Ovis aries: one gene and its partners. The protein of the gene in region 1 purifies or fractionates together with the protein of each later gene. This does not show direct contact. Links are inferred from orthologs where the notes say so. Each region holds a gene or a part of one and is shown on either strand. Other genes may lie near its edges.

Region 1 (3,397 bases):
CAGGGGTGTTCCACCTGTTGCCCTACTTCTACTTCCTCTACTTCACTGCGCTGCTGGTGCACCGTGAGGACCGGGATGAGCGGCAGTGTCTGCAGAAGTACGGCCTAGCCTGGCACGAATACTGCCAGCGTGTGCCCTACCGAATCGTGCCCTACGTCTACTGAAGCAGCTCCAGACACCCCAGGTTGGGGCACGTGCCTGCCCAGCTGCCAGCACACTGGGCACCAGGAGCCTGGACGCACCCGGGACACAAGGGCCTGTACCCTACCCTGCCCAGAGCTCCAAAACACTGGGATGAACGGCCTGATAAGTGGCTGGAGCAAGGGGGAAATGAAGCCAGTGCTCCAAAATGGAGTGGGTGTGTAGGGGGGGTGTGCTGCTCTTCCTCCTTAGATAAACAGCTGGAATCCTTGGTGCTGCTTCTCTCCCTTTCTGGGCCAGGCTGTTTAAAGACTGGCTGGGTCAGCCCCAGTCAAGGAGAAGCTGACAGGCAGTTTGTGGGCCCAAGAGTCTGGGGGACGGTGGCACAAGAACCACCACTCAGAAATGGGCACTGGCGACGGGGCAGAGCGGTCACAGCTTTATTAATGACAAAGGGTTCAGCCGGGGAGCTCCTCAATAAGAGTCCTCCGGGCAGGTGGCAGGGGGCCTCCCCAAAGCTGCTCCAGCTCCCCCGTGAGGGCTGCCACCTCCTCAGCTGCCACAGTGTGAGCTCGGTGGGCCGTGGCACAGTCTAGAGCCAGGGGTGTGAGGGCGTCCTCATTTTCGTTGGTCCAAGACAGAAGGAACTGGCATTTCTTTCGGGCCCGGTAGAGGCGATCTCCTTCTTCGGGGGCCACCGCTTGTTTCCGGGCCCGGCCCAGGGTTTGCGCCAGGTCCCCCAGCGCTGCCAGCGTGTAGCTTTTCTGGTTGGCCGGGCCCTCACCCAGCAGAATGCGGGCAGCCTCGCGCATGGCTCCCCGTGTGCCCAGAGGTCCGGGGGGATGCTCGCCTGCTTCCAGCACATGGGCTGCGGCCTGCAGGGCTTCCTCGGCAGAGGCGAAGACCTGCTGGGAGCCCAGGGCTCCGGAAACGCCGAGCAGTGTGGCACAGAAGTCCGAGAGCAGCGCCTCGTCGCCGCCGTGATACAAGGCCAGAGTGTGCGCGTAGGCAAATAGCACGTTGGGCAGCTGGAAGCGCACAAGCGGCGACGTCCGGCCCCTGCTCAGGCTGGCCAGCGCGGGGATCCGGGTGGGCACGGCGGGAGGGCAGGCCCCGGGGAGGTCTCCAAGAACCGGCTCGACAGCCGCGGGCTCATCCCTCACGGGTTCCGGCGGCATCCTCGCGGAGGAGGGCTCCAGTTCCTCGGCATCGCCGCTTGGGGCATCACCTAGCTCCTCCAGAAGCCGCGGCCCGGCCCCGCGACCCCACCACCATGGCCGCCACGGAGGCAACAGCCGCCCGGCCTCGCCTCGGCTCAGCAGCCGCTCGAAGGCCACCTTCTCGGCCGGGGCCAGCCGCTCCCAGAGTCCTGAGAGGCCGCCGGGCGCCGGGCCAGGCCTGAGGCCTGCGTCCCCGGGCTCATCCTCGGTCTCACGTTGCTGACGCAGCCGGCGCAGGGCGGTGGCCAGGCGGCTGGGCGAGGCGCTGCGACCGCGCAGTTCTCCCAGCACCTGGTCACGGTAGAACTCTTCGGCGCAGCTGCCATGCGCCCGGTAGCAGCGCAGCGAGCAGTAGGGCACGTTACAGCGAGGGCAAGTGTAGCGAGCCGGCTGGGCCTCCCCAGTGGGGCAGAAGCCACACGGCCCGGCCGGCTCCATGACAACTGGCGCAGCGCACAGCCAAAGAACTCACACGCGCCGCAGATCGGAAGTTTCCGGCGCTTCTCGGCTACTTCCGCCTCTTTGCGGGGCCGACGGAGAGCTTCGTCAAAGCCCTTCTCGGCAGTTTCCGGCCGCATTCGGAGCTCAAGCTACGCCCCCCACTTGACCCGAGATACGGCACAGGGGCCGTTCGTGAGGTAGCCCCGCCCTGAGCGGTGGGAGCGTAGGAAAAGGGCGTCTGCCGGGAGCTCGGTCGGTACCAGCCCGCCCCCTAGTGGTTGCTTTTAGCATCATAAAGCGCTTTGGCAAAACCCAATCTTTTATTTTTTTTTCCAAAACCCAATCTTGACTAAACTTGAAGGACAGGGAAGCCTGGTGTGCTGCTGTCCATGGAGTTGCAGAGCCGGACACGACTGACCGACTGAACTGACCTACTCTAGGCACTAACTGTGCCAAGTCGATGGGAGATTAGGCGTCCCTGCGCTGGAGGGGCGGCCATTCTACCAGGGAAGAATGGAAGGAGAGTGAAAGGAAGACCAGGGAGGGGTACTTAGCCTAGACAGGGTGTGTTGGGAGCATTTCCCCTCTTGAGGAAGCAACATTAAAATTTTTGAGCTCCTCCGACTTCCAAAGAAAATACACCGAAGAGCAAATGAGATGGGGTACCTGTCCTAATGGAACTAAGTTTGCGGTAGATTGGGGGTGATGACTCACCAACTGTGCCAAAAGCTATGAAGCCTCGATTTATGGCACTCCTGAAAGCTCTGGTTCCAAAGAAACCAAAGTGCCTCACCTTACTCATACTCAGTCCCACAACTAGTCAGTTCTACCTTTAAAATACCTTGTCTTTATCTCAATATGGATCATCTATTTTCCTACCAAGATCTGGATGGATTTGAAGAGTCTGCTCATTTTTGCATCCCCCCTTCCCAGGTGTCGCTGGAATTTTTCAGGCAAGAGTACTGGAGTGGGTTGCCATTTCTTTCTCCAGGGGATCTTCCCGACCCAGGGATTGAACATGGGTCTCCCGCATTGCGGGCAGATGCTTTACCGTCTGAGCCACCAGGGAAGTGGGTTCCCAGGTGTCACTAGTGGTAAAGAATCCACCTGCCAATGCAGGAGATGCAAGAGATGGGTTCAGTCCCTGGGTCAGGAAGATCCCCTGGAGGAGGAAATGGCAACCCACTCCAGTACTCTTGCCTGGAAAACTTATGGACAGAGGAGTCTGGCAGGCTACAGTCCATGGGGTTGCAAACAGTCAGACATGACTGAGCAACAGTGCACACACACCCACACTACCCCTGGCGGTCTAAGCTACTTGTTCTTCAATTAGATGACACCAGCCTAACTGGTTTCCTTTTGCCAGCCCTCCAGAAAAGTCAGCTAGAGAAAGTAGATCACAAGTCACAATCCAGCAGGCCCTTACTTTAAAACCCTGACCTGTACTTGGACTGAAACCACACTTCTCTCCACATCTGACAAGACCCTGCAGGATCTGCTACACACCGCCACAGAGTTTTCCTGGCTGAAAAGTCACTGTTTAACCACTTAATCATTTTCTGTTTAAGGTCTCAGATCCCATCCTCAGAGACCTT
Region 2 (3,644 bases), on another chromosome or scaffold:
CCTGCTGCTGGTGCTACTGCTGCTAAGTCGTTTCAGTCGTGTCCGACTCTGTGCGACCCCATAGATGGCAGCCCACCAGGCTCCCCTGTCTCTGGGGTTCTCCAGGCAAGAACACTGGAGTGGGTTGCCATTTCCTTCTCCAATGCATGAAAGTGAAAAGTGAAAGTGAAGTCCCTCAGTTGTGTCCGACTCTTCGAGACCACATGGACTGTAGCCTACCAGGCTCCTCCGCCCATGGGATTTTCCAGGCAAGAGTACTGGAGTGGGGTGCCATTGCCTTGTTCTCAGTTATTATTTCTTCCTCTGATAAACACTTTCACCTCCTCTTTTTTATAGCATTTATTATATAAAGTTATTTAAAACAGTACATTTTCTGTATTACACATGAAAATTCACATACAGATGTCTTTTCTATCAAATCTTTATTCTTTCTCCATTGTCAAAAATCTTAATTTTTCATTCCTGCTAGATTTTTCTTCCTTGGTAATTCTTTTTGTTACCCCACTAAAACATTTCTCATGGAAGGAATTATGACCTTGGTACAGCAGAAAGTGATCGCTCAGCAAATGTGAATACTGGCCTCGGTTCTCAAATTCCTTCACCTTTTCCATTGTTATCAAGCACCTTGATATGTGACTGGAAAGCTTCTGCTCACAGTTGCTGATGAGTTTCAAGCAGAGGTGCCAGGGTACCATCTGCTCGGTGTATTCTGGTAACCAATAGACAAGTCTTCCACCTAATACGAGGGTCTCTGCTGAGAACTTTAACAGGTCAAAAAACATGTCACACAGATAACTCAAGGAAACAGGAACGTGGCTTTCTGGACATTTTCTATTCCCTCTGGTATTTCCTTCTGTGAACTTGTCCTTCTTGTAGATTCTCTAATACCATATGAAGGATCAGTGATGACTGCATCAAAATAAGTGCCCTTCAACCAGGAGGGTTTTGATGCATCTGAAACCACGATATCAAGGTAATACTTCTCTAAACCATACTGATGAAGATTTGCCCTAAACCAAACTGATGAAGATGTTTTCATCCGGTCCTCTCCATTTCCAGTTTTTCCTACTAGCCTTTCCTAAGCCATGAACAGTATTGTAGTCTATGTCTGTTCCATATACGTATGCACCAAAATGAGCAGAAGCTATCAAAAGGCCACCTGTTCCAACAAATGGATCAAATACAGTATCATCTTTTTTCATTTTTCCATGGTTGGCCATGATGAATGATAAACCAGCATCCATGCTTGTATTTCAAATAAAGTGTCTCTTTTTGACACTGTATGACTCAATAAGCTCTCTGTGTTCATCTGCAACCCATCTACCAAAATAAATATTATGTGGATTCTCAGGGATGTGGTTTGGGTCCAAACCATAATCTTCCAAAATAGAGAATGTATGTTGTGGCTTTTTAAAATTCACTTTCCCTTCAAATGACAGAAATTCAAATGCATCTATTCATCTGACTTTTTCTTCTTGTGTCAAGGTTTTATTAAATGTGTGAATCTTTATTTTATACATAGACTCTGAATGCAGAAATGGAACCACCTTCTCAACAGGGTAGCTTTTAAGAGAACTGTACAGCTCCTCCGGACACTTTCCATGACCCCATAGTTCAAATATAGACTTGGCACACACAGAAAAATCAAGCTTCTGGCAATACCTTCAGATGGAATGCTAAGAATCCAAAAAGGAGACTTTTCATAAGTTTCCTGACTACTGGTGAACTAACCTCCAAAAAGTGAAAGGAAAGACTTTATCTCCAAAAGGAAGAACTCCAGGTGTTCCTGTGCCATGAGCAGAAGACAACGTGTTCAAGGTACCCAGCGGCACTTATCCTCCTCTTTCAAGTTTGAAGCTTCCAATCTACTTGAGGGTACAAGATCAGATGTCTGATCTTGATAAGAGCTAGATGTTAAAAGTCCATAATATTCTGAGTAAAAGCCTAAATAGTAAAGTATATGGTTGCCCTGCACAGCTCTGGGGCAGTGGCCTTTAGATCTGAGTGATCTCTCTGGCTCACTTCAAGGATCATAATCAGGTTATCAGAAATTTGACTCCAGATAAGTAAGTTATCATAGCACTAGGTACCAAAAGAGGAAAACAAAGCATTGAAAATCATTTACTAAAAATAAAAAATAAAAAAAACCAAAACAAAACCATAGAACTGGCAATGATTGGATGATGCCAACATAGATCCTTTAACTATTTAGATAATTATACTTTAACAGAAATTACCGAGGCAGCTCTGCTCCTTTGTGGGTTGAAACTTTGGATATGAAAGCTTTCATGCTCTCTGAGACTTGGGTTAAGTCATAGTTCTCCTCCCGCCCCTTGGAAGTGGGCTCTGGCTCTTTTTTGCCAGCAGCTTCCTGCAGCAGCTGGTCCAGCTGATCTGGTGAGAGATCTAACCACCGTTCATCTGAAAAAGAAGTGTGACACTGCCATACTATACTCACATGAAACAGGTATGAAACAGGTATACTCTCAGTAAAGTACCCTCTGAGACTTAGTGGGATGTTTTAATTCTTTCTAACTCCGTGCTCTATCCTGGCCCATCACTTACCATCTTCTGGGGGAAGATAAGCTTCTTCTTTCTTAAGCTCTTCTATATCAAGTTGTACTGTCTGCAATAACGTTAAGATTTCTTCACCTGGGCTCATAGCATGAGAGCTATAAAAAATCAAAGATATGGGTATTTAATGAGAACTTAGAATAATAACCACAAAAACAGAGTATTTTAAAGTTGGAAAGGATTATCTAGTCTAATTTGTTTTTAAACATTTGTTCAGGATACTGAATCCTTCCTCTCAAAATTTCACCAGGAACTCAAAATATAAAAAAGAGCTCAAAGAAAAACTGCTTTGAGGAGTTCCTGGTGGTCCAGTGGTTAGGGCTTGGTGCTTTCACTGCCATGACCCCTGGTTCAATTCCTGATTAGAGAAAGAGGATCCTGCAAGCCTCACAGCACAGCCAAACCAACAAAAAGTTCAAAAAGTAAAGAAGAGAGAAACTGCTTTGCAAAAAAAGAAACCATCAACAAATGAAAAGACAACCTAAAGAACGGGAGAAAATATTCACTAACCATATATATGAAAAAAACCCCAAGTTCTGATTCAAAAATGGGCAGAGAGAATGAATAGACATTTTTCCAAAGAAGATACAGAAATGCCAAGAAAAGGTACTCAACAGCAACTAATCATCAAGGAAATGCAAATAAAAATCACAGTGAGATATCACCTCACACCTGTCGGAATGTCTATCATTAAAAAGAAAAGCATTGGCAAGAATGCGGAGAAAAGGGAACCCTCATGCACTGTTGGTGGGAATGCAAGTTGGTACAACCACTATGGAATACAGTATGGAGGTTTCTCAAAAATTAAAAATAGAGCTACCATATGACTTAGCAATCCCACTTCTGGGTATTTATCCAAAGGAAATGAAAACAAAATCTCAAAGAGATGTCTGCATCCCCATGTTCACTGTAGTGTTATTCACAGTAGCTAAGACTGGAAACAATCTAAGTGTCTACAAATAGATAACTGGATAAAGGTGTGGTGTAGATGGATGAACGGACAGACAGATAAATTCACAGAGACAGAGATCTACATGGGGTCCCAGGTGGCACTAGTGGTAAAGAGCTTG
Region 3 (4,412 bases), about 5.8 Mb from region 1:
GGTGTCATTGCCTTCTCCAGGGGATCTTCCCAGGGATCGAACCCAAGTCTCTCGCTTTGTAGGCAGATGCTTTACCATCTGAGCCACCAGGGAGGTCTTAAGCCCGAAGGTTGGGACACATTAAAATGGGCCCTGTTTCCTCTCTGGGTCCCTGGGCTGGGCCGCAGCATGGCCTGAACCCTGGATTCCTGGGTGCGGCCCTGGCCGAGGGGGCTCGCTCTGGCCATCCACCAGGGGAGTCAAGGCTCTGAGCTGAGGTTCAGCAAGTGCTTCCGCGGTGGCTCAGCTGGTGAAGACTCCGCCTGCAATGCAGGAGACCTGGGTTCAATCCCTGGGTTGGGAAGATACCCTGGAGATGGGAAGGGCTACCCATCCCAGTATTCTGGTCTGGAGAATTCCATGGACTGTATAGTCCACAGTGTCAGACTTTATTTTTTGGGGCTCCAAAATCACTGCAGATGGTGACTGCAGCCATGAAATTAAAAGACGCTTACTCCTTGGAAGAAAAGTTATGACCAACCTAGATAGCATATTCAAAAGCAGAGACATTACCTTGCCGACTAAGGTCCGTCTAGTCAAGGCTATGGTTTTTCCTGTGGTCATGTATGGATGTGAGAGTTGGACTGTGAGGAAGGCTGAGTGCTGAAGAATTGATGCTTTTGAACTGTGGTGTTGGAGAAGACTCTTGGGAGTCCCTTGGACTGCAAGGAGATCAGCCCTGGGATTTCTTTGGAAGGAATGATGCTAAAGCTGCAACTCCAGTACTCTGGCCACCTCATGCGAAGAGTTGACTCATTGGAAAAGACTCTGATGCTGGGAGAGATTGGGGGCAGGAGGAGAAGGGGACGACCGAGGATGAGATGGCTGGATGGCATCAGTGACTCGATGGACGTGAGTCTGAGTGCACTCCGGGAGATGGTGATGGACAGGGAGGCCTGGCGTGCTGCGATTCATGGGGTCGCAAAGAGTCGGACACGACTGAGCGACTGAACTGAATAGTCCACAGGGTCGCAAAGTCGGACACGACTGGGAGACTTTCACTTTCGGAGCAGAAATGACCAGTCACGATCGGCAGGCGAGGCCGGGGCGCCTCCCTCAGGAGGCTTGCCACGCGGCGGCCTGCCCGAGTCGTCCAGTGGGCGGGACAAATGTACACCGCGGGACACGCCCCGCGGCCCGGTTCCAGGGACCCGAAAGAGCAGGGACGGCTGCTCCGGAACAGCACCGGAAGTGCCTGGGAACCGCGCGGGATGCGTTGACGCACTTCCGGTTCTCGCAGCTTCCGGCAAAGTGGGCTACAGTACCAGGAACGAGGCTCTGGCCGTTAGCCCTGGAGCATTCTGGGAGTCGCAGCCCTGCCTCCTCACCCAGACTCCCTTCCTGAGTCAATTCCGGTCTCTTCGCGAAGGAGCGCCACGGTTTCCTGTAGGGAAGGCAGCGCATGCGCAAAGTCATCACTCCCGATAGGCCTCAGGCGTGGGAGCCAGGGGCCTTGTGGGAGATGTAGTTCTTCAGGCGCGGGAGAAGCGGCCATCGGCCAGCGGGGGACTCGGTTTCCCACGAGGCTGAGCGCGGCTCAAGATGGAGGCAGCCAGGCCGAAGTGAGCCGGTAGGTTTTTGGTGGGAGGGCCGCGCTGCTGACCCGTCCGGCTTCAGCGGGCCACTGTCCGTAGTCTGCTGCCCCAACCAGGGAGACCCTCGTGAGGCCCGCACCCTTGGCCCGCCCCCGCCCGACTTGGCCGCAGGACTCAGGCAGCTGACAACGAGCGCCTGCTGGGCACGCGCCGAGATTCTGGGCGCGTGGAGTGGAGAAAATCAAGGCTCTGCCTCCTAGGGGAGAGAGACAACCCTCAAGGAAGCCAGCGCTCCCTGGGACCTGGCCAGCCCCGACCCCGGCCCTGAGAAAACCGCGCCTCCGTCAGCCTGGACTCGGCTCTGCCCTCCAGTGAGCTCAGGAAGTTCTCAGAGAACTCAAGAGACGCAGACCTGGCATGCTCGATCTTGGGGCGCGATTCCTGGCTCCCCTCGGAGTGTCCCACTGATCACGGGCGTCCAGGGGACGGGAGTGCAAATTTAGGAAGCCGGAGGCTGGTCGAAGCTCCAGCTTTGCCTCCAGTGTACGGAATGACGGGCCAATTATCTCCCCACTCCTGTCCTGCCAGCCCTAAAACAGACACCGTTGGCGTTTACTTCGTGTCCCCTTTCCTGGAGTTGTTCCTGCATTTGGGGAGTCATGCAAGGCCCAGAGGAATGGAGATCTCGCCTGCGTTTGACCTGGAGCAGGGCACTCGGAGCCACTCCTGGTCCAACTGGCCTGGTCTTTGGTGGGTGCAGGAGCAACAGAGTCACCCTTGGCAAGCAAGGGAGGCCTGGTGGGAAGAGGAAGTTGGTGGAGGCTGAGGCCTGTCCTCTGAGCCTGGAAACAAGTTTCAGGGTGCTTGGTGACACTGGAATGCTAACCAGGTGTTGGCAGGACTTCTGTGCTCCACTGGGAAAGTGAAGGGTGTGTGGAGGATCACAGATGTCGCTGGAGGTTGCCTCAGGAGCTGTGGGGCCGGCCTCTGCCAAGCAAGGCTGAGCCAGCTTCCTGAGAGCCTGACCCTCAGATGTCAAGGACCTGGCTGCAGTCCCTTCTGGAGCTGCCAGGGCATCTCTGCACTCAGGAGCACACCTCCTCCCCACAGAGCCGGCAGGTGCCTCCGGCTTTGTGGAGTACTTCCTGCCTGCCCTGCTCCCAGGCAGCATCCCGCAGCAAGCTCTAAAATTCTTTATTGCAGTTGTTAGCACAGTGAATAAACGTACTCCTCATCCACACAGCAAATGTTTGTGAAGTCTGACTGAGTCAGTTCGAGCTGTTCAGTGAGCCAGTCTGCAGTTCCCGCCATGACTGTCAGCTGTTTTCCGTCCCTCTGAGCACTCACTGACCTGAAAACGTAATAAGCTATCACGTGGAACCACCACAGGACGTGTCAGTTACCACGATTAGACTAGTGACTGATACAGTGTCGATTCTGTAATTTCACTTTTTGAAAAGAGTGATCACCCTTCATGACTCCTTGTAATCCATTAGAAAGTAATTGAATATGCTAGTGTGTGGAAACACTGGCGCTGTGTCAAAACGAAACAGTGACAGTCTTTCTCCGAAGTGAAAAATTACTCAGTTAATGGCCGGAATACCCTCAGTTTCCATTTTGTTTTAATGTTTCACCCCTGCAGCTGCTAGCCAGTGTGAGGAGGGTGATGCCTGCTTTAGCACAAAATTACATGCTCTGCATGTCACTCATTCATTCCTTATTTACCGGAGAAGGCAAGGGCACCCCACTCCAGTACTCGTGCCTGGAAAATCCCATGGACGGAGGAGCCTGCTGCTGCTGCTGCTGCTGCTGCTAAGTCGCTTCAGTCGTGTCCGACTCTGTGCGACCCCATAGACGGCAGCCCACCAGGCTCCTCCGTCCATGGGATTCTCCAGGCAAGAGTACTGGAGTGTGGTGCCCTTGCCTTCTCCGGACAGAGGAGCCTGGCAGGCTACAATCCAAAAGGCCACAAAGAGTCGGATGCAACTGAGCTGAGCGTACTGCCTGCCACTACCACACGTGGCCGACAGAGGGAGCGCGAGGATTGCTGGTGACCCTGGGTTGACACCCCGGCCGGCTGCTCTACCAGACCACCCCGTGCGGGTCCCCTAGTGGCTCTAGTCAACCCTGCCTGGCGAGGACTGAGGGAGGTGACAAGTCAAAAGGACCAGCTCCTGGGCCTGGCTGTTTTGGGGGCTTTGTAAACCCAGGCCCACTCCGGGGATGTTGGCACCACTTCCATTTGTCCGCCATCTGGTCTGATGGCTGGCTGTCCCTCCCTGCCCTTAGCCAGTCACCGAGCCGCTGAGCAGAGCCGTACCAGGGGGCCTTTGCCACCAAGAACCTTCGTCAGCATTCAACCCACCTGCCCTCCAGCATCCAGCAGGCGCCCATCAGACGGGGAGGTAAGAGGAGGGCTTATGGTCGGTGTGGCGGGGGTGGGGATGGGGGCTGGCCCTTCCTCCTGGGACACTGCTCTTCCTGCTGATCCTGCCTGGGGTGGTGGGTGTGAGCTTGTGTCCGGGGACTCCCGGGGCTGTTTTGGTGCAGGTGTGGCGTGGTCTGGGGACACATGGCAGAGGCAGGGGACAGCCGACACTTCCCTGACTCGGAGGCCGACACCCTGCCTCCGGACACTGGCTCCCTCAGCGACTCGGACTCTGACCTTAGTTTGCCTGATGGCGCTGGGGCGGCTGCCCTGTCCCTGGGGGGGCTGCCTGGGGAGGTGTCCGGGGATTCGGGCCCCGATGAGCCCCCCTCGCCCCCCAGAGGCCTCCTCACAGAGGCAGTGCAGCCCTTCCACCTGAGAGGCACGAGCCCCACCTTCTCCCAGCGCAG

Evidence for each region.
Region 2: the proteins of ZNHIT2 (region 1) and ECD purify together in Homo sapiens (affinity purification with mass spectrometry; 3 studies listed by BioGRID and IntAct, counting the BioPlex papers as one, with this or other methods). This does not show direct contact. The link is inferred for Ovis aries from reciprocal best matches to the Homo sapiens genes ZNHIT2 and ECD.
Region 3: the proteins of ZNHIT2 (region 1) and TSSC4 purify together in Homo sapiens (affinity purification with mass spectrometry; 3 studies listed by BioGRID and IntAct, counting the BioPlex papers as one, with this or other methods). This does not show direct contact. The link is inferred for Ovis aries from reciprocal best matches to the Homo sapiens genes ZNHIT2 and TSSC4.

The regions. Positions count from the first base shown.
Region 1 is NC_056074.1:39,773,001-39,776,397, forward strand, and holds ZNHIT2 (zinc finger HIT domain-containing protein 2), read right to left. Parts: upstream 1,819-3,397; 5' UTR 1,800-1,818; coding exon 600-1,799; 3' UTR 566-599; downstream 1-565. Other genes in the region: delta(14)-sterol reductase TM7SF2, read left to right, coding at 4-164. UniProt on the Homo sapiens protein: May act as a bridging factor mediating the interaction between the R2TP/Prefoldin-like (R2TP/PFDL) complex and U5 small nuclear ribonucleoprotein (U5 snRNP).
Region 2 is NC_056078.1:28,426,954-28,430,597, forward strand, and holds part of ECD (protein ecdysoneless homolog), read right to left. Parts: intron 2,673-3,644; coding exon 2,566-2,672; intron 2,422-2,565; coding exon 2,238-2,421; intron 2,232-2,237; exon of another isoform or gene 1-2,231. UniProt on the Homo sapiens protein: Regulator of p53/TP53 stability and function. Inhibits MDM2-mediated degradation of p53/TP53 possibly by cooperating in part with TXNIP. May be involved transcriptional regulation. In vitro has intrinsic transactivation activity enhanced by EP300.
Region 3 is NC_056074.1:45,569,292-45,573,703, reverse strand, and holds the start of TSSC4 (U5 small nuclear ribonucleoprotein TSSC4), read left to right. Parts: upstream 1-1,559; 5' UTR 1,560-2,324; intron 2,325-3,863; 5' UTR 3,864-3,979; intron 3,980-4,124; 5' UTR 4,125-4,146; coding exon 4,147-4,412. UniProt on the Homo sapiens protein: Protein associated with the U5 snRNP, during its maturation and its post-splicing recycling and which is required for spliceosomal tri-snRNP complex assembly in the nucleus.